Linked DNA regions of Callithrix jacchus. The main gene of each other region encodes a partner of the protein of the gene in region 4 in a complex. Links are inferred from orthologs where the notes say so. Each region holds a gene or a part of one and is shown on either strand. Other genes may lie near its edges. The genes, in order: TAF3, TBP, TAF9, TAF11 and TAF5.

Region 1 (2,598 bases), on a different chromosome or scaffold from region 4:
ATGAAAGGGGCTACAGGTCATATTGTTCACAGAGATGATTCTAAAATGTTTGTTTTTTATGACCTACAACAGAAAGCTTAGAATATTCGTTAGAAATGTCTTATCATTGAACACTTGTTAGCGTTTTTCTGTTTCGTGATTCTAAACCAGTGATGACACTGATCATGGTGCCAATGAAGTGCTAATCTGTATTTTTTAGTTTAATGTACCTGTTTATTCAGTTAACAGTATAAAGTAATTATTCTGATCTGGTCTCTCCCTGTTTTTTTTCACATCGCCTCCGTTCTTCCCGCTCCCACTTCGCAAACATCAGATCCGAGATGAGTGGGGCAATCAGATCTGGATCTGCCCTGGGTGTAACAAGCCTGATGATGGGAGTCCAATGATTGGTTGTGACGACTGTGATGACTGGTACCACTGGTAAGTGCCCAGGCGCCCTGCCGGCCACACTCTCAGGCAGCATCCTCTGCTCCTGAGATGAAGCATCCACAGAGTAGATTCCAGCCTTTGGACTGATGCAGGGCTGCCCTGGAGTCAAATCACAGAGCCTGTGAAGTGCAGTTCATTGCAAAACCCAAGAGTCTTCGGACTATTGTTATTCACCCCAAATCTGAATACTCTGCTTAGCTTATCGATCCTTCTTATTAAAACAGTAATAAAAGGAGATGCATGGGTGTCCCTGGCCTTGCTTTCAGGTAGTGTTCCGTAGGAACTGTAGCACTGGCCAGAACCACAAAGAGGCAGCCCCTTTGTAAGGACGGTACAAACTGCAGGACTAAAGACTGCTTATCTGTGTCGTAAACCTCTTCAGCAGTTCCTAAAAACTGAAACACTCAACCAAAATTTATGCAGATAATCTCGTGTTAGCTTTAAAATGTCAGATACAAAAAGAATAGTGATCTATTAAGTTACGATATATGATATCTCTAAGATAAAGACAAGCCTTGGCTCAGAAGACTCCGATTCCTGGCTGGCAGGATGAATGAGCTGATGAATCTCAGCAGGGCTGGGAAGGAAGCTTCTGTAATATCACAGTCTGCCTGCCCAACAATAGTGCTGCGAGTTAGTGCTGCTTGACTTTGATTTTGGGAAACATGTCATAGACTTTTAAAAATTACTGTGAAACATTGAAGGAGAAGAATAGACGTATATATAGAAGTTGCTGATCTGAGCTTGTTTTCATGTGTAGGCCCTGTGTTGGAATCATGGCTGCACCCCCAGAAGAGATGCAGTGGTTCTGCCCCAAGTGTGCAAACAAGAAGAAGGACAAAAAGCACAAGAAGAGGAAGCATCGAGCGCACTGACGGCTCGCCAGGGTCAGGGTCAAGTGGGGTCAGCTCAGGAAGGGAGCTGGTGCAATTCTGCCTCCACATCCACCCCCAGATGCCCGTGGATGAAGAACCCGGGAGGACTGAGGCAGGAACACACCTCGAACCTGGATTGTTCACTCCCGAACCGTGTTGGCCTATGGCTCCGTGGCCGGGCCCCGGAAGGAAACTCAAGCAGAGGCGTGGCCTGGGGGCTGCCCCTCCTCCTCTTCTCTAATGCCAGTGACAAGTATTATTAATAAAAAGAGCGTACATCTTCCCTTTGACTTCCTTCCTTCTCTCCAGGGCCTTTTCATGGAGGTATTAGATGAGAAGATGATGTAAACTGCTTTGACTGTAACTTAAGGATGGTAGAGTCTGTATACAGTCTTCAGCCCCCTCCCTCTGTAGTAAGATAATCATAACAACATAAAGGAAAACTCCAGCTGGAGTACTGGTAAATATTTTTGTGATAAGAATATATGAAGCTTCCCTCCTTCCCCCGTTTTTAGTACTAACATGTAAAATGTTCAGGCTTTTGTGAAATACCTTATATTTTTTAAGAAAAAGGTTTCTATCATGTCCTGTTTGCTTTTGTGCAAATTATTTTTGTTTAATGTATTTTATATCTTCGTTGCATTCTAATTTTGCCCTTCTTTAAACTGCTGGAGTGTCTTCTCGCTGCTTGTACATTTCATCAACTTGTATAAAAACTCTTCAGACTAAAAGATTGCCCCTACTGTAAATAATAAATATTTATGAAGTAGTTATTTTTTAAATTTTTATCGTGTTTAATTCTGGCTTTCTCTGAAATCCACTATGATTTCAGCCGTGTCTGTATTGACGCTGGACAGAAATAAAGAAGGCTGGAGAAAAAGCCATCGTTCAAAGACATTTCCCTTGAGCTGAACCTGTGCAGTGGCCGAAAAGATCGTAGGGGAAAGGGCCCAAGCAGCTGGAAGGAAAACAAGGCAATTTGAATTTCTAGTTTATGATTTGAAGTTGTTTTGTTTGTTGTCTATTTTGTTTTTGTAAATTTCTTTGACAGACTTTTACTAAAAGGACATGTAGTTTCCATGAAAGTTAAAAAAAAAAAAACCCACTTATACTGTAGCATTTTCTTTATATTGTTTTTATTTCTACAAATCTGTTCATTAATATTGTGCTTTAAGGCTGAAATGAAGTATATTATGAATTTTTTTAAGAAAACATCAAATTTCAGGGTATCACAAAACTTTATTGTATTCTTATACTCCCACTATTTATTATATGTTATATAGATGTCTGAGAG
Region 2 (4,088 bases), about 130 Mb from region 4:
GTGCGGACCCACTCAGCTCAGGGTTCTGAGGCCTGCAGGGGATCTGGGCAGCGCCTTCGCGGCGGTGACCCCCAAATAGGCTTCAGCAGATGGGGGGAGGGCGAAAGTGAAAGCTGCGGCTCTCAAGGGTTTTTACCCTCCGTTGAAAGCGTAGGGCGAAAATCGTAGCTGCAGAGGTCCCGCAGCTCTGTGCGGCTCCATTCCCAGCTCTCTGCCAGGACCCGAATACATGGCTGTAGAGGACAACATCTCACTGAAGCGCCCGCAACTCCGGCCGCTACTCCTGCTGCCTCACGGCGAGATGGCCGCCCTGACCGGACGTTACGCCACTTCCGGCTTTCCTGTAACTCGCTCCCGGCCTCTCTATCTCGCACTAGTCGTTGCTCCTGGAGGGCTGCTCTGCCGCTAGTCCCTTTCATAGTTGGGTCCTGCCCATTACCAGAAAGATATTAAGGTTTTTGTTTTTTGTTTTTCCCCCGAAGAAAAGATTGGAATTCACCCATATGGACAAAATTTTAAAAGTCTGACCGTGCAAAAATTTGCCAAAACTGTGGAGCAACGGCAACTGGAATAATAGTAACAGCCTAAATTGTCCTGGCTAATACAAAATGTATGTAACATTTCCTATCCTTAAAGAGCTCACAACCTCACTGATAATAGAAAGTCCAAAGGAAACAAGCGGTATAATATATGATTCCGCCAAAACGAACTATAGAAGGTAAAATAAAGGCGTGCTGACGTCCCACTAGGAAACAACTGCGGATCGAGCCTTTGACCACAGTGCCTGAAGCGGCTTGTGTTTTGCTTAGTGTTCCTAGTCATTCTACACGCTTGAAGATCAGCTAGCGTTGTTGCTGACAGGTAAGGAGCACGCGCTTACTGAGTGCCAGGCACTGCTCAGGCATTGACTGTCAGTCTCCAGAGAGCCCAAAGTTAAGCACTAGTATCATCATTATTAAATTTTACAGAAGAAACTGCGGGGAAGAAGTCAGGGAACTTGCCAACGGTAACGCCTCTAGTTGCTTGAAACACACACACCATTTAAAAATTGATCTTTCCTATGCCCAGCAAGGGCCAATTAGAGACAGCGGTGGTGCGCCCGCCCAGTCCCGGAACTCCTCAAGAGCTTCGCCCCTCCTTCCCTTAAACTACACGCCTACGGAAACACAGGAAGTGAGCAAGTGCCCACACTTCGCATGGCCACGACCCCAGTGAGAACAATTCGCTGAAGCCGAGGGCAGAACTGGCGGAAGTGACATTATCAACGCGCGCCTGGAGTTCAGTGGGGTCGGGCAGGGTTCCTGTGGCGGGCGCCTGGGCCGCCGGCTGTTTAACTTCGTTTCCGCGGGCTCATAGTAATTTCTGCAGTGACCCAGGTAACAGCTTGTCCTCTTTTCTGAGGGTTCGGGCGGAGGCGACCACTGCATTGAGGCCTGGGGGCGATGGTGGGGAAGAGACAAGGAATTGGCGCGCGCAGGCCCTGCAGGGGACGTTCCTCCCGCTCGTGCTGCCGCCGTTCCGGCCTGTAACGGCCACTCGGCCGCCGCTTTCGCCTGGTGCCCTATTCCGCTGTGGTTCGCAAGCGGCTTCCCGTCATACGAGCGTGGGGCGCAGGGTACTGGCGGGCTCGGCGGCGGCGGGCGGGACAGGGCAATCCCTTGCATCGAAGACCCGAAGTTTATTCTGCCCTGGCCTGCCACCCGCTTCTTCTCCATGTTTGAAGGCAGATTCACTGTGGTCTGTGCCCGCCTATTTTGCTACCAACATTGAGACTTAAATACTTTGTCAGAAGCCTGAGACAGCGGACACAGTAGCGCTTAAGATACAGTACACATCACTTTGTTTACAGGGCCTCCCATCTCTCGGTTCAGGCCATCATGGTTTTCCAAATCTCTAGGTAGGCTTTTCTGTGAAAAGACTATGCTTCATTTAGATATACAGACACTAGAAGGCTATGCAGAGTTAGATTGCCTCCAAAAAATATCGAATTTGATGTTTCAATTTCGAAGAGATGAAGAGACCCAGCAAACAACCCTTTTCTAGGGAGAAAGTGCAGTAACCACTGTGCGGTTTCTTCTGTAGACTTACGTGCAAAAAGTGATAAGAGCCTACCAATATTTGCCGTCTCATCTCCTGTAGTGACCTATACAGTCATACTAAGCTTGTCACCTTCATACGGCATGCTTTTTCAATGTTACCTCGTTTATCTGAAGCCCTGACCTGTAAATTCCTATTCACCTTGTGAGACCCAAGTTAGATGGTCCTTGTTTTGTGAAAACACTGCCCCTCTTCATAGTAGTGTGCTGTTAGTCTATATGTCTTCTCTTCCAGGGGCATATATGCACTTATTCATGATCACATACTGTATTCCAGGCATAGTGCTAGATGCAGGGATGACAAAGACTGGTTTCTACATTCAAGAAACTTAGCTGGCCGGGCGCGGTGGCTCACGCCTGTAATCCCAGCACTTTGGGAGGCCGAGGCGGGTGAATCACGAGGTCAAGAGATCGAGACCATCCTGGTCAACATGGTGAAACCCCGTCTCTACTAAAAATACAAAAAGTTAGTTGGGCGTGGTGGCGTGTGTCTGTAATCCCAGCTACTCAGGAGGCTGAGGCAGAAGAATTGCCTGAACCCAGGAGGCGGAGGTTGCGGTGAGCCGAGATCGTGCCATTGCACTCCAGCCTGGGTAACAAGAGCGAAACTCCGTCTCAAAAAAAAAAAAAAAAAAAAAAAAAGAAACTTAGCTTAGGGCACACCTGCTATTATACTATGTTTTATAGTAATGATTTGCATACCCTTTATATTGAACATTTTGATGCCAAGGACTATAACCTCCTAATCTTTACATCCTCATCTGCATCACTTCTGTTATTGTTATTATACGGTAACTGTCAAAAAGTATAATTTTAAAAACATCTCTGATATTTTTATTTTCAGAAGCAGAGTTCGCTTGCTTTCTTTTTTGGCCATTTTTTCAGTGATGAGTAGGTAGGATACAGAGTCTGGGGGCCTTAGCCCTTTCAAAGCGATCCTCAGAATCTTTCATTCCTTCACAAATATCTGAGTGTCTATTGTGTACCAGCACATGCTTGAAGTGCATATGCCTGAAGGGTCTTTGGACATATAATTTGTAACTTTGAGACCTGAAGTTCTGGGTGAGAATATGTTGTTATTATAAACTCATTTCAGATATGGACATGAGTAAAGAGATGATGATTTAAGAAAAGCCAGATAACAGGCACGGTTTGCATTAATGTGTTCTAAAGAGGTAAGGTTATTATTTACAAAAATGCAGGGTTTTATCTTTGTGCAGCTTTTTTTTTTAGTTTTATTATAGTAGGAGCTCAATAACTGATCACTGAAGTATATTTACTTAATTTTTTGCCCAAGACATTATAGAGGATATAAAATTGGAATAAAGATCTGAACTTTGCTTAACTGTGCTGTATATACAGTGCTTAACGAATACTCTGCTGTGATATTACAGTTTGCTTAGGAATTAGTTTCCTCTCAGTATTTTTCCTCAAAAGTTTTTGATGCATCATCATAGTATTTAAATGCGTAACAAAATGACTTTTGTTGGCGATTTTACATGTAATCACAGGAAACATGGAAGGAATAAGACTTCAGGATTATAAAGCAAAAGGCAATGTATTCCAAAATAGCTTCATTGGTTTTCTTGTTTGTGTTTTGTATAGCCATGGAACTGGCTTATAGGACTGTACAGGTTACCTGAATCCTTACATTAAACTTCAGGCTTTTTTCCAAAGCAGCATCACTGTCTCTTGGTGTGTGAAGATAACCCAAGGAATTGAGGAAGTTGCTGAGAAGAGTGTGCTGGAGATGCGCTAGGAAAAAATTGAATGGTGAGACAAGTTCCAGCCCAAGGGTTTCTGGTTTGCCAAGAAGGAAGTGAACATCATGGATCAGAACAACAGCCTGCCACCTTACGCTCAGGGCTTGGCCTCCCCTCAGGTAATACAGCAGGAGGAAGAGAATGAGAACAGGGAGGGCAGAAATATGTACTTCAAGAGATGGTATCAAAGGGAAGGAAGGGTATTTAATGATCTGTTTTTGAAAATGAT
Region 3 (4,036 bases), on a different chromosome or scaffold from region 4:
TGTATTTCAGTCCTGATTTTGATGCAAGTTCTTTGCCTAGTGTGGTTTTTCCAACCCCTGGTGTACCTGTAAGATAAGCCACAGAAAAATATTGTTTGTGAAATACTACTCATCACACTGTAGCCCACCTTCTGCCCTTTTTTTTTTTTTTTTTTTTTGAGACAGAGTCTCCCCTGGTCTCTGCCCTTAAGGTTCTCAATGAATGAAATGAAAAATCTTCTAATTAGCAATCATATGTAAGTTTTTTTTTTTGAGATGGAGTTTCCTTCTTGTCACCCAGGCTGGAATGCAGTGGCAAAATCTCAACTCACTGCAACCTCCACCTCCCAGATTCAAGTGATTCTCCTGCCTCAGTCTCCTGAGTGGCTGGAATTACAGGCATCTGCCACCACACCCAGCTAATAATCTTTGAATTTTTAGAGACGAGGTTTCCCCATATTGGCCAGGCTGGTCTCGAACTCCTGACCTCAGGTGATCCGCCCACCTCAGCCTCCCAAAGTGCTGGAATTACAGGCATGAGCCACCTCAATATGTCTATGATCTAATAAAAATTTTCCAAAGCTAACTGAATGTCAAAATATTACCCAGTTATTGATCCTTCAAGGGTGAGGCTCAGCAGATTCTGTCGCAGATTCAAACTGCCTGCTACTACCATGGAACTGTTCAGAATAAAATTAACCACCTCAAATCAATTACAGTCATTTATTTACTTTTTTTTTTTAAAGACAAGATATCTCTTTGTTGCTCAGGTGGAGTGCAGTGGCACTTGGCTCACTGCAGCCTTAACCTCCCGGGCTCAAGCAATCCTCCCATCTCAGCATGTCCAGTTGACGAGGCCATAGTGTGTACCACCATGCCCTGGTTAATTTTTGTAGATGGGGTTTCGCTATGTTGCCTAGGCTGAGCTCAAGCAATCTGCCCACCTCCCTCTCCCAAAGTACTGGGATTACAGGCATGAGCCACCCATCCGGCATATTTGCTTTAATTTAAATAGATTAAGAAACTGTTCATAGCCAGGTGTGGTGGCTCATGCCTGTAATCCCAGCAATTTGGGAGGCCAAGGCAGGGGGATTGCTTAAGCTCAGGAGTTCGAGACCAGCCCCGGCAACATAATGAGACTGTCCCAAAACAAAAACAAAAACTGTTCATGTTAAAATGTAAGCAGTCTTACCCCTTGCACCCTTCCCTAGAGACAACCACTGTGAACCAGTTTCCCATACATGTATATCTTCCCAGAGAAACCCTATTTATGTTGCATATGAATGTACATGTATATACATACTTTGTATATACATACATAAATACAACATATATTCCCTTTTACATAAATGACAATACTACATACTATACATTGCTTCTTACCTTCCCCTTTTGATACCTATTATAATTACACTTCAAGATCAAATTTGTAATTTTCAGCTATTCAGGTTTAACATCCCTGAAATTAAACTTGAGCATAAAGATAACAGGGATAATCCAGTTCCCACACGGAAGAGATTAACAGTTACCTCAAGTCCACTATAATTCACCAAGTCTGAACCCTGGACTCAATTATGTTTTCAATAAAATGCTCACTTTAAAGTTTTGACAATGACACAATATTAATAACCAAGGCACTATGTTTGATCCATGCAAAAAGATGTGATATCTTCCACTTAAGAAATCTTAAATGCTAAACATTATTTGTGGCCTGGTTAATCGGCACCTCTCAGAAACAGACATGTCTTGTGCGCTGCAAATCATCTTATGTTTAGATGAACGCTGTAACTTTACTGCTTTATTTCCACCGACTCTTAATTTTTCGGTACGTTCCAATAAAATCTACATGCATTAGATTTTTCCACGAATGGTCTACAATTTAATAAACACTTTAAGGACTAAAATATTCGATGAAGTCGTTACGCAGCAGCATTTTAGTTCCTTCACCGGTAACACGCACCCTGAGTATGGCTTCAAAGACCCACTCCTACGCGAGAAACGACCCGAAATGCTCACTAGATTCCTCTCCTTTAAGGGGCTGGGGAGAACCTCTGATGTAACTCAACAAAGGCATACAGTAATTTAGTCACACCACAAACATCTAAAGTCATTTCCCGAAATCTGATCTGAGGAGCAAAGGAAAAAATAAAATATGGCCCAGGGAGGCCTAAGGAGTGAGGCCTCCACCATTAATGGCTCTACTGGAGAACAGATGTGACCTTACACTATTTCGCTAAAAATCCCAAAGCCAACCCTGCCAAAGAATCAACAACCCATTTTACACACAAAATACCAGATTCAGAAAGACTAAGCAGACTGCCAAGCAGGAGAGCTGATCTGCCGACCTCTCTCCTCCTCCCCCGGAAGTCTCGGGCCACCGGAATTAACGTTCCGCATCCCCTCCCCCACCTCCTGCCAAGCCCGTGAGGGTCGGCTCCCGGGGCGCTGCAGCCGCCTCGCGGCCCTCGGGAGGCCTCCAAACAGAACACTGAGCGGGGCCCGAGGCCCAGAGCACTCCGCAAACCTCGCCTGCCCCCTCCCAGCCCCTCCCGGCCGCGCGCCCTGACCGGTGAGCAGGATGTTCGGAAGCAACATGGTCCTCGCTGCAACTGCTCCGATCACCTCGCTCAAGCGCCCTTTGCACTACGGGGAGGAGCCGGAAGGGGCGGGCGGCAGTGAGAGCCCACGGGCCCCAAGGACCTCCAGGCCCACCGCGGCGTCCCCGGCCTGCCCCGGCGGCCCAGCTGCGGCCCACTAGTTACCTAGCTTTCCCTAACACGTTTCCATCGCAAAGTTGAAGGGTGGGCATAACTCGGGTCGGTGCTTCGGGTCAGGCAGTGCGCTGGATGCCTAAGTCACACACTCCGGCGGGCCCCGCCCTTCGGTTGCGTCGCGGATGCGCCGACCATTTTGAAAGGTCCCCGGGAGGCCGTACCTCAGAGAGGCCCGGATACGGCCAGGTGGCTACCCTTTCACTCGGGGTAGATCCTGTTCGCCTCCGCTCTTCGCCGAAAAGGGAATGCAGCTCCGGGAACGTAAGGCCGCCGCGGCTGCCGCTATAATATGTATATGTCTTAGAGACGCGAGTCTATCTTTGCCTTCAAGCCTTCTTGGGCTCTCGTCGCTCCTCCTCCTGACCCGCCCGTCCCATCTGGGGATGAGAAGATTGAGGGTGCAGAGCCCAGTCCTGCAGCGGGGATTTGCGAGCTCAACCCGGCACCCTACTGATTACAGGATTACGTTGGACGAATATTTGACCTTAGTATTCCCTGTTCACTGTGTGGGGTGGTGGTGGGTCGGCTAGGAATAGTCTTGAAGGTCTACCTCTGACATCTCATTTCAGGAATCTGGCATCTTCAGGGACAGTTACCTGCTTTTAAAAGGAGGTAATTGTCAATCTTGTTTTCAAAGAGTGAATAGAGTCCTGACGGTGACAACAGTCTGCATCTTTTATTTCGAGCTACAAACTATATTTACTCAAATGTTTTGTTTGTTTTTTTACCAACTGTGTACCATTTGAAACGTCAAAGTCTAACCGTGAACGATTTGGGACGAAAGGCCAGCAATTTGTTTTCTAGTACGTAGGGGTGTTTATAGGCGATGTGTGCTCCAAACTGTAAAATAGTTCAGTATACTTTCCAGTGTATAAATTTGTAGGCATTAAAATTCTCTTCTGGCTAACTTAAAATTGTTGAATTCACTAGTTTGCATAAAGGTTTAAGAATTTGAAAACACAATTGAAAAACAGTGTTACTAAGAAATTTTCTAATAACATGATCAAATGAAAACAGTTTTACAGTAAGATTTAAATTCTTTGTCCACAGCAAGTGAATTCATTGTATTTTATTTTTTGGGAAATGTTGGAAATGAAGAACTGCAACTGTAATTTGAAATAAGGAAAACTTTAATTTTCAGTATATAAACTACTCAAATAGAATTGCCTGATTTTAATGACAAAAGGTAAGTAGAACAGTTTGTGAATTTTTTTTTTCTGTTTTTCTCAAATACGTCATTGAGTTCATGTGAAAAACTCCGTTTGTAACACCACAAGTAGTTT
Region 4 (3,515 bases):
GAGAGACCCTTAAGATGGGGAATGATAAGAAGGTGACTTACTGCATCTTCTGAATCTCATCTTCATCTACCTTCTGCTTCTTCTCTTTCTTTTCTTTGGTATCTATTTTCAGTTTTTTGGCTGCAGGAGTAAGTAATGATGAGTCTTCCCTTTCAACTGCTGTTAAATCTGAGACATCCTGACTCTTGAGCTGGGAAGATGAAAGAAACTCTATTATATATTTGCCCTACTTTCCAGGCTAGGGCAAAGTAAGAAGACATCATCCTTATTACAAAATAACAAATCCATTTATTGAGTAGTTTTTCAGTTCTAGGATCTGACTGTACCATCAAGTGTACAATACAGTATCTCTCCTAAGGGAAGATTATAGCTTAGCCGTGGAAAGAAAACCCGCTAAATAATCTAGTTTTCCAGTCCAGCTATGAGCACAGCTCCAGTATCTGCTTACAAGGGTAATGAAATGCCAAGGATCATGAGAACCACTCTCCCTATGGGCCCACTCTTCTGACCTTATTCTTTAGAGGGGTTGTCAGCAAAGTCCCCTCCATCCAGCCAGCTCTTCTGCCTCCAGATCTACAGATCTCTTTACTGCTGCTGATTCCATATAGAATATTAAAAAGGAGGCCTCTTCTCATCAAAACAGTGTTTATTTGGAACTTTCAAGTGAGCTTCTCACATGCAGTGCTCTTCGTTCTTATCCTTCAGTCTTACTGTTTCATGCAAATATTTATTTCACATTACTAGTCTTTTTGAAGATAGGTTTGTCTCTTATTATTTATATCTCTCCCCTATCGGCATTTAACATAATTTTACTAATGCTGAAAGTTTAATAAATGCCTGTTTAAATCCCAAGTAGGCAACCCGAAGTAGGCAAAGACATTCTCAAAAGAAGACATACATGTGGCCAACAATCATATGAAAAAAGCTCAGCATCACTGATCATTAGAGAAATGCAAATCAGGCCGGGTGCAGTGGCTCACGCCTGTAATCCCAACACTTTGGGAGGCTGAGGCGGGTGGATCACGAGGTCAAGAGATCGAGACCATCCTGGTCAACACGGTGAAACCCCGTCTCTACTAAAAATACAAAAAGTTAGCTGGGCATGGTGGTGCGTGCCTGTAATCCCAGCTACTCAGGAGGCTGAGGCAGGAGAATTGCCTGAACCCAGGAGGCGGAGGTTGCTGTGAGCTGAGATCACGCCATTGCACTCCAGCCTGGGTAACAAGAGCGAAACTCCGTCTCAAAAAAAAAAAAAAAAGAGAAATGCAAATCAAAATCATACTGAGGCCTGACATAGTGGCTCATGCCTGTAACCCCAGCACTTTGGGAGGCCGAAGCAGGTGGATCACTTGAGGTCAGGAGTTTGAGAACAGCCTGGCCAATATGGAAAAACCCTGTCTCTACTAAAAATACAAAATTAGCTGGGTGTGGTGGTATGTAATCCCAGCTACTGGGGAGGCAGAGGCAGGAGATTCGCTTGAATCCAGGAGGTGGAGGTTACAGTGAGCCAAGATTGTGCCACTGCACTCCAGCCTGGGCAAAAAGAGCAAAAATTCCATCTCAAAACAAACAAACAAAAAAACTATAAAGAGATACCATCTCGGCTGGGCACAGTGGCTCACGCCTGTAATCCCAGCACTTTGGAAGGCCGAGGCAGGTGGATCACCTGAGGTCAGGAGTTCGAGACCAGACTGACCAACATGGTGAAACCCCGTCTTTAAAAAAAAAAAAAAAGGCCAGGCACAGTGGCTCATGCCTGTAATCTCAGCACTTTGGGAGGCCCAGGCGGGTGGATCACGAGGTCAAGAGATCGAGACCATCCTGGTCAACATGGTGAAACCCCGTCTCTAATAAAAATACAAAAAATTAGCTGGGCATGGTGGCGCGTGCCTGTAATCCCATCTACTCAGGAAGCTGAGGCAGAAGAACTGCCTGAACCCAGGAAGCGGAGGTTGCGGTGAGCCAAGATCGCGCCATTGCACACCAGCCTGTGCAACAAGAGCGAAACTCCGTCTCAACTCCGTCTCAAAAAAAAGAAAGAGGTACCATCTCACACCAGTCCGAATGGCTATTATTCAAAAGTCAAAAAGTAACAGATACTGGCGAGGCTGTGGAGGCAAAGGAAAGCTTTTAAACTGTTGGTTGGCGTATAAATTAGTTCACCATTGAGGAAGGCAGTATGACAATTCCTCAAAGAAATAAAGAAGGAATTACCATTCGACCCAGCAATCCCATTACTGGGTATATACCCAAAGAAATATAAATTGTTCTATTATAAAGACACATGCACACTTTTATGTTCATTGCAGTGCTATTCACAATAGCAAAGACATGGAATCAGCTTAAATGCCCATCAATAATAGACTGGATAAAGAAAATGTATTTTCCAGTATATACCATGGAATACTATACAGCAACAAAAAAGTAGATCATGGCCTTTGCAGGGACATGGATGGAGCTGGAGGCCATTATCTTTAGCAAACTAATGCAGGAACAGAAAACCAAATACTGCATGTTCTCACTAATAAGAGGGAGCTAAATGACGAGAAAACATGGACACATAGAGGGGAAGACACACTGTGGTCTATGGGAGAGTAAAGGGTGGCAGAAGGGAAAGGATCAGGAAAAATAACTAATGGATATTAGGCTTAATGCCTGGGTGATGAAATAATCTGTACAACAAACCCCTATGACACACATTTACCTATGTAGTAAAACACATCCTGCACATGTATCCCTGAACTTAAAAGTTTAAAAACTGCCTGTTTAGGCCGGGCGCAGTGGCTCAGGCCTGTAATCCCAGCACTTTGGGAGGCTGAGGCGGGTGGATCACGAGGTCAAGAGATCGAGACCACCCTGGTCAACATGGTGAAACCCCGTCTCTTTACTAAAAATACAAAAAGTTAGCTGGGCATGGTGGTGCGTGCCTGTGATCCCAGCTACTCGGGAGGCTGAGGCAGGAGAATTAATTGCCTGAACCCAGGAGGCGGAAGTCGCGGTGAGCCGAGATCGCGTCATTGCACTCCAGCCTGGGTAACAAGAGCGAAACTCTGTCTCAAAAAAATAAAAAATAAAAAACTGCCTGTTTAATAACCATAAAAATAAATAGAAACTTCACCCCCTCTGACTGAATGTAGAATCTTAAGTATACTACAAAACTCATTAATGAGATTTAGCTTTTCCTTAAGAAGAATTCAAATTTAAACTCAGACAGGAATATGGAAATGGGGGATGCAGGTGGTCTGTCTTTGACAATCTTTTCAATTTTTTTTTAGTTACTGATTTATACAAGTTTTCTAACTTCTTTGTGCTTCAAGTTCAGTGATTTGTATTTTCTTTAAAAAAAAGTCACCTATTGGCTGGACGCGGTGGCTCACGCCTGTAATCTTAGCAATTTGCGAGGCTGAGGCAGGCAAATCACAAGATCAGGAGATCGAGACCATCCTGACCAACTTGGTGAAACCCCGTCTCTACTAAAAAAAATTACAAAAATTAGCTGGGTGTGGTGGCGCGCA
Region 5 (4,214 bases), on a different chromosome or scaffold from region 4:
GATGAAATTACAGGCGTGAACCACTGTGCCCAGCCACACTCACACACATTTCTATTTATGGATTACAATGAAATATGAATACAATGCTATGTATTCAAGCAATGCTGCAAAGATTAGGCCTCATACAGATGAATTTGGCTAAAGGCTCTGCACTGGAGAATTCAATAAACATTTATTGTTAACTCAGGATCAACTGTGAGAACTTATACTGTATATGAGTTTTACTGCATGGACTTTGTGACAACATTTGCTGGGAGAAAGCAGGGGCTAAGGTATTAGGGACAGATACAGAGGCATAAACTTATCAATACCAAATGTTTCACATATACGTATTATAATAGCCTCATAACCACTCATTTAATAGAGAAAATTCAACATGAGAGCCTCCTGACAATATTAATGTAAAAAAAAGAATTTTTTTTTTTTTTTTTTTGAGACCATCTCACTCTATCACCCAGGCTGGAGTGCAGTGGCACGATCTTGGCTCACTGCAACCTCCACCTCCCAGGTTCAAGCAATTCTCCTGCCTCAGCCTCCTGAGCAGCTGGGACCATACCTGGCTAATTTTTGTATTTTTAGTACAAAGGAGGTTGACCAGGAGCGGTGGCTCATGCCTGTAATCTCAACACTTTGGGAGGTCAGGAAGTTACCCGAGGTCAGGAGCTCGAGACCAGCCTGACCAATATGGAGAAACCCTGTATCTACTGAAAAAACAAAAATTAGCAGGGCATGGTAAGGCATGCCTGTAATCCAAACTACTCGGGAGGCCAAGGCAGAAGAATCACTTGCAGTGAGCTGAGATGGCACCACTGCACTCCAGCCTGGGCAAGAAGAGTGAAACTCCACCTAAAAAAAAAAAAAAAAAAAAGGCCTGGCGCGGTGGCTCACACTTGTAATCTTACCACTTTGGGAGGCCGAGGCGGGTGGATCATGAGGTCAAGAGATCGAGACGATCCTGACCAACATAGTGAAACCCCTTCTCTACTAAAAATACAAAAATTGCCAAGGCGGGTGGATCACGAGGTCAAGAGATCGAGACCATCTTGGTCAATATGGTGACACCCCGTCTCTACTAAAAATACAAAAAATTAGCTGGGCATGGTGGCGCGTGCCTGTGATCCCAGCTACTCAGGAGGCTGAGGCAGAATTGCCTAAACCCAGGAGGTGGAGGTTGCAGTGAGCCGAGATCGCGCCATTGCACTCCAGCCTGGGTAACAAGAACGAAACTCCGTCTCAAAAAAAATTAAAAATTACGTGTAATGGGATGCCTGAACACATGATTCTCAAGCTGCCGTATGTCAATACTCCTTAGAAGCACTTATTCAAAAGTGCAGATTCCCATATTCCACCTCTAGAGGATCTGATTCACTAAGTCTGAAGTGATGCCCATGAGCCTGCATCCTCCAAAGACTTAACACTGGTGGTACTACCCATATGTATTTTTAATATTCCAACTTTTAGCTGACAATCGGGGGCACATGATGTGCAGGACTGGTACAAGGGTATATTGCATGGTGGCCAGGCATGTTGGCTCACTCCTGTAATCCCAGCACTCAGGGAGGTCAAGTCCGGTGGGTCACTAGAGGTCGGGTGGTTGAGACCAGCCTGGCCAACATGGTGAAAGCCTGCCTCTACCAAAAATACAAAAATTCGCCAGCTGTGGTAGTAGGCGCCTGTAGTCCCAGCTACTGGGGAGGCTAAGGCAGGAGAATCGCTTGAACCCAGGAGGCGGAGGTTGCAGTAAGCCGAGACTGCACCACTGCACTCCAGCCTGGGCGAGAGCAAAACTCCGTCACAAACACACACAAAAAAAGAAACTATAAAGTATTTACTAACGTATCTTTTAAGAGGAAGTAAAGAAATAAAGAAAAATTAAAGTACGCTAATACGAAACTGTACAAACACTATGTTAGCGTCATGCGGACATGACTAAGGCTCAAAACCCCATATGAGAGGAAAGGAACCAAAAGCCTGAAGGTACCCGCCTCTCCGCGCCCACCTTCACACATCCCTCTGCTCAGCAGCTCTCCTCAGCCTCTCGCTGGAACTGACAGCTCGGAAGGGGGTTTGACTACGCAGCCGGCGCACTAGAGAAAGGGGCGGGCATGTGGCCCTAGAGGCGGGCCCAGGAAATTCAAAACAAGCCCGCAGAGGTGCAGGCCCGCCAGCCCCTGCCTTACCGGCATGCTCCCCTTCGCGGTGGCCGTGCCTGCCCGGGACCCCACGGCTCACCTTTACCCGGAGCCGCAGGACCTGAGGCTGAACCTGAGACGGCCGTGGCCCCCGAAGCGCCAGTACCCGGAGGGTCGGGGGCCGCAGGGCCAGGGGCCGAGGCGGTCACCCGGCTGAGAAGCGCGCTGGCCGCCTCAGCGCCGGCGCTGTCCACCTCTCCCGGGGCTCCGGAGCCCGCCACTGCCTCCTCCAGCAGTCGGGCCTCACGGCGCAGCGCCTCTTCGGCCTCGCGGAGATTGCTCTGCCGTAGGAACTGCAGCACCGCCAGTAGAGTCTGTCGGTCGTGAGGAGCGCCGGCCTCCGGAGCAGCGGCAGGCACCGGGGCCGCCCCCGCCGGGGCAGAGGCAGAGACAGCCACCGTGGGCTTGGGGGTCCCGCCATCACCGCCAGCGGACGACGACGCCGCAACGTTCCCGCCCCCGCCGTTGGGGCCGTTGTTGGTAGTGCCGCCGCTACCCTCGCCTGCGCTGTCCCCCGCCTGCGGAGGTAGCAGCGTTGGCGGTCCCTCAGGCTCTAGCTTAACCGCCACCTCCGTCTGCTCCTCCGCCAGCGCCGCCATCTTGCGGCTGAGCCACCTCGCGCCGTCAAGCGTGATTGCATTTTCGCCGCATGGAGGTCGGGGAGGAGCATTTCACGACAGCTCTAGTAGACCATTTACGGCAGTAGGAGGAGCGAAAAAAAAAGGCGAAACGGAATAGGAATGAGTAACTTTAGAAAACGAGCGATAGAAAGGCAGGAAGTGGGAGTTGATGACCGCCTATTACATTTGCCTGATAATTGCAATTTATTGCAGGCTAGCTTACGCCGTGGCTTACGTCTGTAATCCCAGACGTAACGTTTTACGTTATGTGATCTCCTTCAATTCAATCATTTTATGAGGTAATATTATTTTCACTGCACAGATGGCTTAGCCGAAACCAAGAGAGGTTAAATAATTTACCAGAGTCACACAAGAAGAAAGTCCAAATGTTAGCATTCGAATCCAGGTCTTTAACTTAAAAGCATATACCATTTGCCAGAAGGAGGCTTCTGAGATACTGGTAATGTTTTCTATGACCTGGATAGTGGTTAATTTTTTTTTTTTTTGGCCGTTTTTACTTTTGTAAAAATTAATCGAGCTGCATGCTTTATGAACTTTACACCGTATACATTACTTTTTTTTTTTTTTTTTTTTTTTTGAGATAGAGTCTCGCTCTGTCGCCCAGGCTGAAGTGCAGTGGCCTAATCTTGGCTCACTGCAACCTCCGCCTCCCGGGTTCAGGCAATTTTCCTGCCTCAGCCTCCCAAGTAGCAGGGATTACAGGTGCGGCCCACCATGTCCCACAAATTTATGTATTTTTAGTAAATGCAGCGTTTCGCCATGTTGACCAGGCTGGTCTCGAACTCCTGACCTCAGGTGATCCGCCCGCCTCAACCTCCCAAAGTGCTTAGATTGCAGGCGAAAGCCATATACATTACATTTCAATAAAAAGATTTTAAATAACAGAATTTTGTGGCTGTGAAATATGTACGTTATGTATTCATGCTATTACCTGTTATTATAAATAAGCTATTTTAATTGTATATTTAAAAATCGGCCAGGCGCGGTGGTTTACGTCTGTAATCCCAGCACTTTGGGAGGCCAAGGCGTGCGGATCACAAGGTCAGGATATCGAGGCCATCCTGGCCAACATGGTGAAACCCGGGAGGCGGAGATTGCAGTGAGCTGAGATCACGCCACTGCACTACAGCCTGGGCGACAGTGCGAGACTCTGTCTCCAAAAAAAAAAAAACAAATCATGGCCCGTTGCGGTGGCTCACGCCTGTAATCCCAAAACTTTGAGAGACAGAGGCAGGTGGATCACCGGAGGTCAGGCGTTCCAGACCATCCTCTCTAACATGATGAAACACCATCTCTACTAAAAATATAAAAATGTAGCCGGACGTAGGTGGCAGGCACCTGTAATCCCAGCTACTCGGGAGGCTGAGATAGAAGAATCACC

What was found.
Region 1: TAF11 (region 4) and TAF3 share a complex: the UniProt entries of both Homo sapiens proteins name them as parts of the TFIID basal transcription factor complex. The link is inferred for Callithrix jacchus from reciprocal best matches to the Homo sapiens genes TAF11 and TAF3.
Region 2: TAF11 (region 4) and TBP share a complex: the UniProt entries of both Homo sapiens proteins name them as parts of the TFIID basal transcription factor complex. The link is inferred for Callithrix jacchus from reciprocal best matches to the Homo sapiens genes TAF11 and TBP.
Region 3: TAF11 (region 4) and TAF9 share a complex: the UniProt entries of both Homo sapiens proteins name them as parts of the TFIID basal transcription factor complex. The link is inferred for Callithrix jacchus from reciprocal best matches to the Homo sapiens genes TAF11 and TAF9.
Region 5: TAF11 (region 4) and TAF5 share a complex: the UniProt entries of both Homo sapiens proteins name them as parts of the TFIID basal transcription factor complex. The link is inferred for Callithrix jacchus from reciprocal best matches to the Homo sapiens genes TAF11 and TAF5.

What each region holds. Positions count from the first base shown.
Region 1 is NC_133508.1:5,916,856-5,919,453, reverse strand, and holds the end of TAF3 (transcription initiation factor TFIID subunit 3), read left to right. Parts: intron 1-313; coding exon 314-420; intron 421-1,189; coding exon 1,190-1,304; 3' UTR 1,305-2,086; downstream 2,087-2,598. UniProt on the Homo sapiens protein: The TFIID basal transcription factor complex plays a major role in the initiation of RNA polymerase II (Pol II)-dependent transcription.
Region 2 is NC_133505.1:177,177,898-177,181,985, forward strand, and holds the start of TBP (TATA-box-binding protein), read left to right. Parts: upstream 1-1,281; 5' UTR 1,282-1,376; intron 1,377-1,530; exon of another isoform or gene 1,531-1,897; intron 1,898-3,773; exon of another isoform or gene 3,774-3,776; 5' UTR 3,777-3,924; coding exon 3,925-3,978; intron 3,979-4,088. Other genes in the region: PSMB1 (proteasome subunit beta type-1), read right to left, coding at 137-249. UniProt on the Homo sapiens protein: The TFIID basal transcription factor complex plays a major role in the initiation of RNA polymerase II (Pol II)-dependent transcription.
Region 3 is NC_133503.1:140,124,000-140,128,035, reverse strand, and holds the start of TAF9 (transcription initiation factor TFIID subunit 9), read right to left. Parts: upstream 2,812-4,036; 5' UTR 2,742-2,811; exon of another isoform or gene 2,575-2,741; coding exon of another isoform or gene 2,325-2,574; intron 660-2,324; exon of another isoform or gene 585-659; intron 67-584; coding exon of another isoform or gene 1-66. Other genes in the region: AK6 (adenylate kinase isoenzyme 6), read right to left, coding at 1-66, 2,325-2,574; cell cycle checkpoint protein RAD17, read left to right, coding at 3,930-3,939. UniProt on the Homo sapiens protein: The TFIID basal transcription factor complex plays a major role in the initiation of RNA polymerase II (Pol II)-dependent transcription.
Region 4 is NC_133505.1:43,126,456-43,129,970, forward strand, and holds part of TAF11 (transcription initiation factor TFIID subunit 11), read right to left. Parts: intron 191-3,515; coding exon 42-190; intron 1-41. UniProt on the Homo sapiens protein: The TFIID basal transcription factor complex plays a major role in the initiation of RNA polymerase II (Pol II)-dependent transcription.
Region 5 is NC_133513.1:96,354,390-96,358,603, reverse strand, and holds the start of TAF5 (transcription initiation factor TFIID subunit 5), read right to left. Parts: upstream 2,806-4,214; 5' UTR 2,792-2,805; coding exon 2,233-2,791; intron 1-2,232. UniProt on the Homo sapiens protein: The TFIID basal transcription factor complex plays a major role in the initiation of RNA polymerase II (Pol II)-dependent transcription.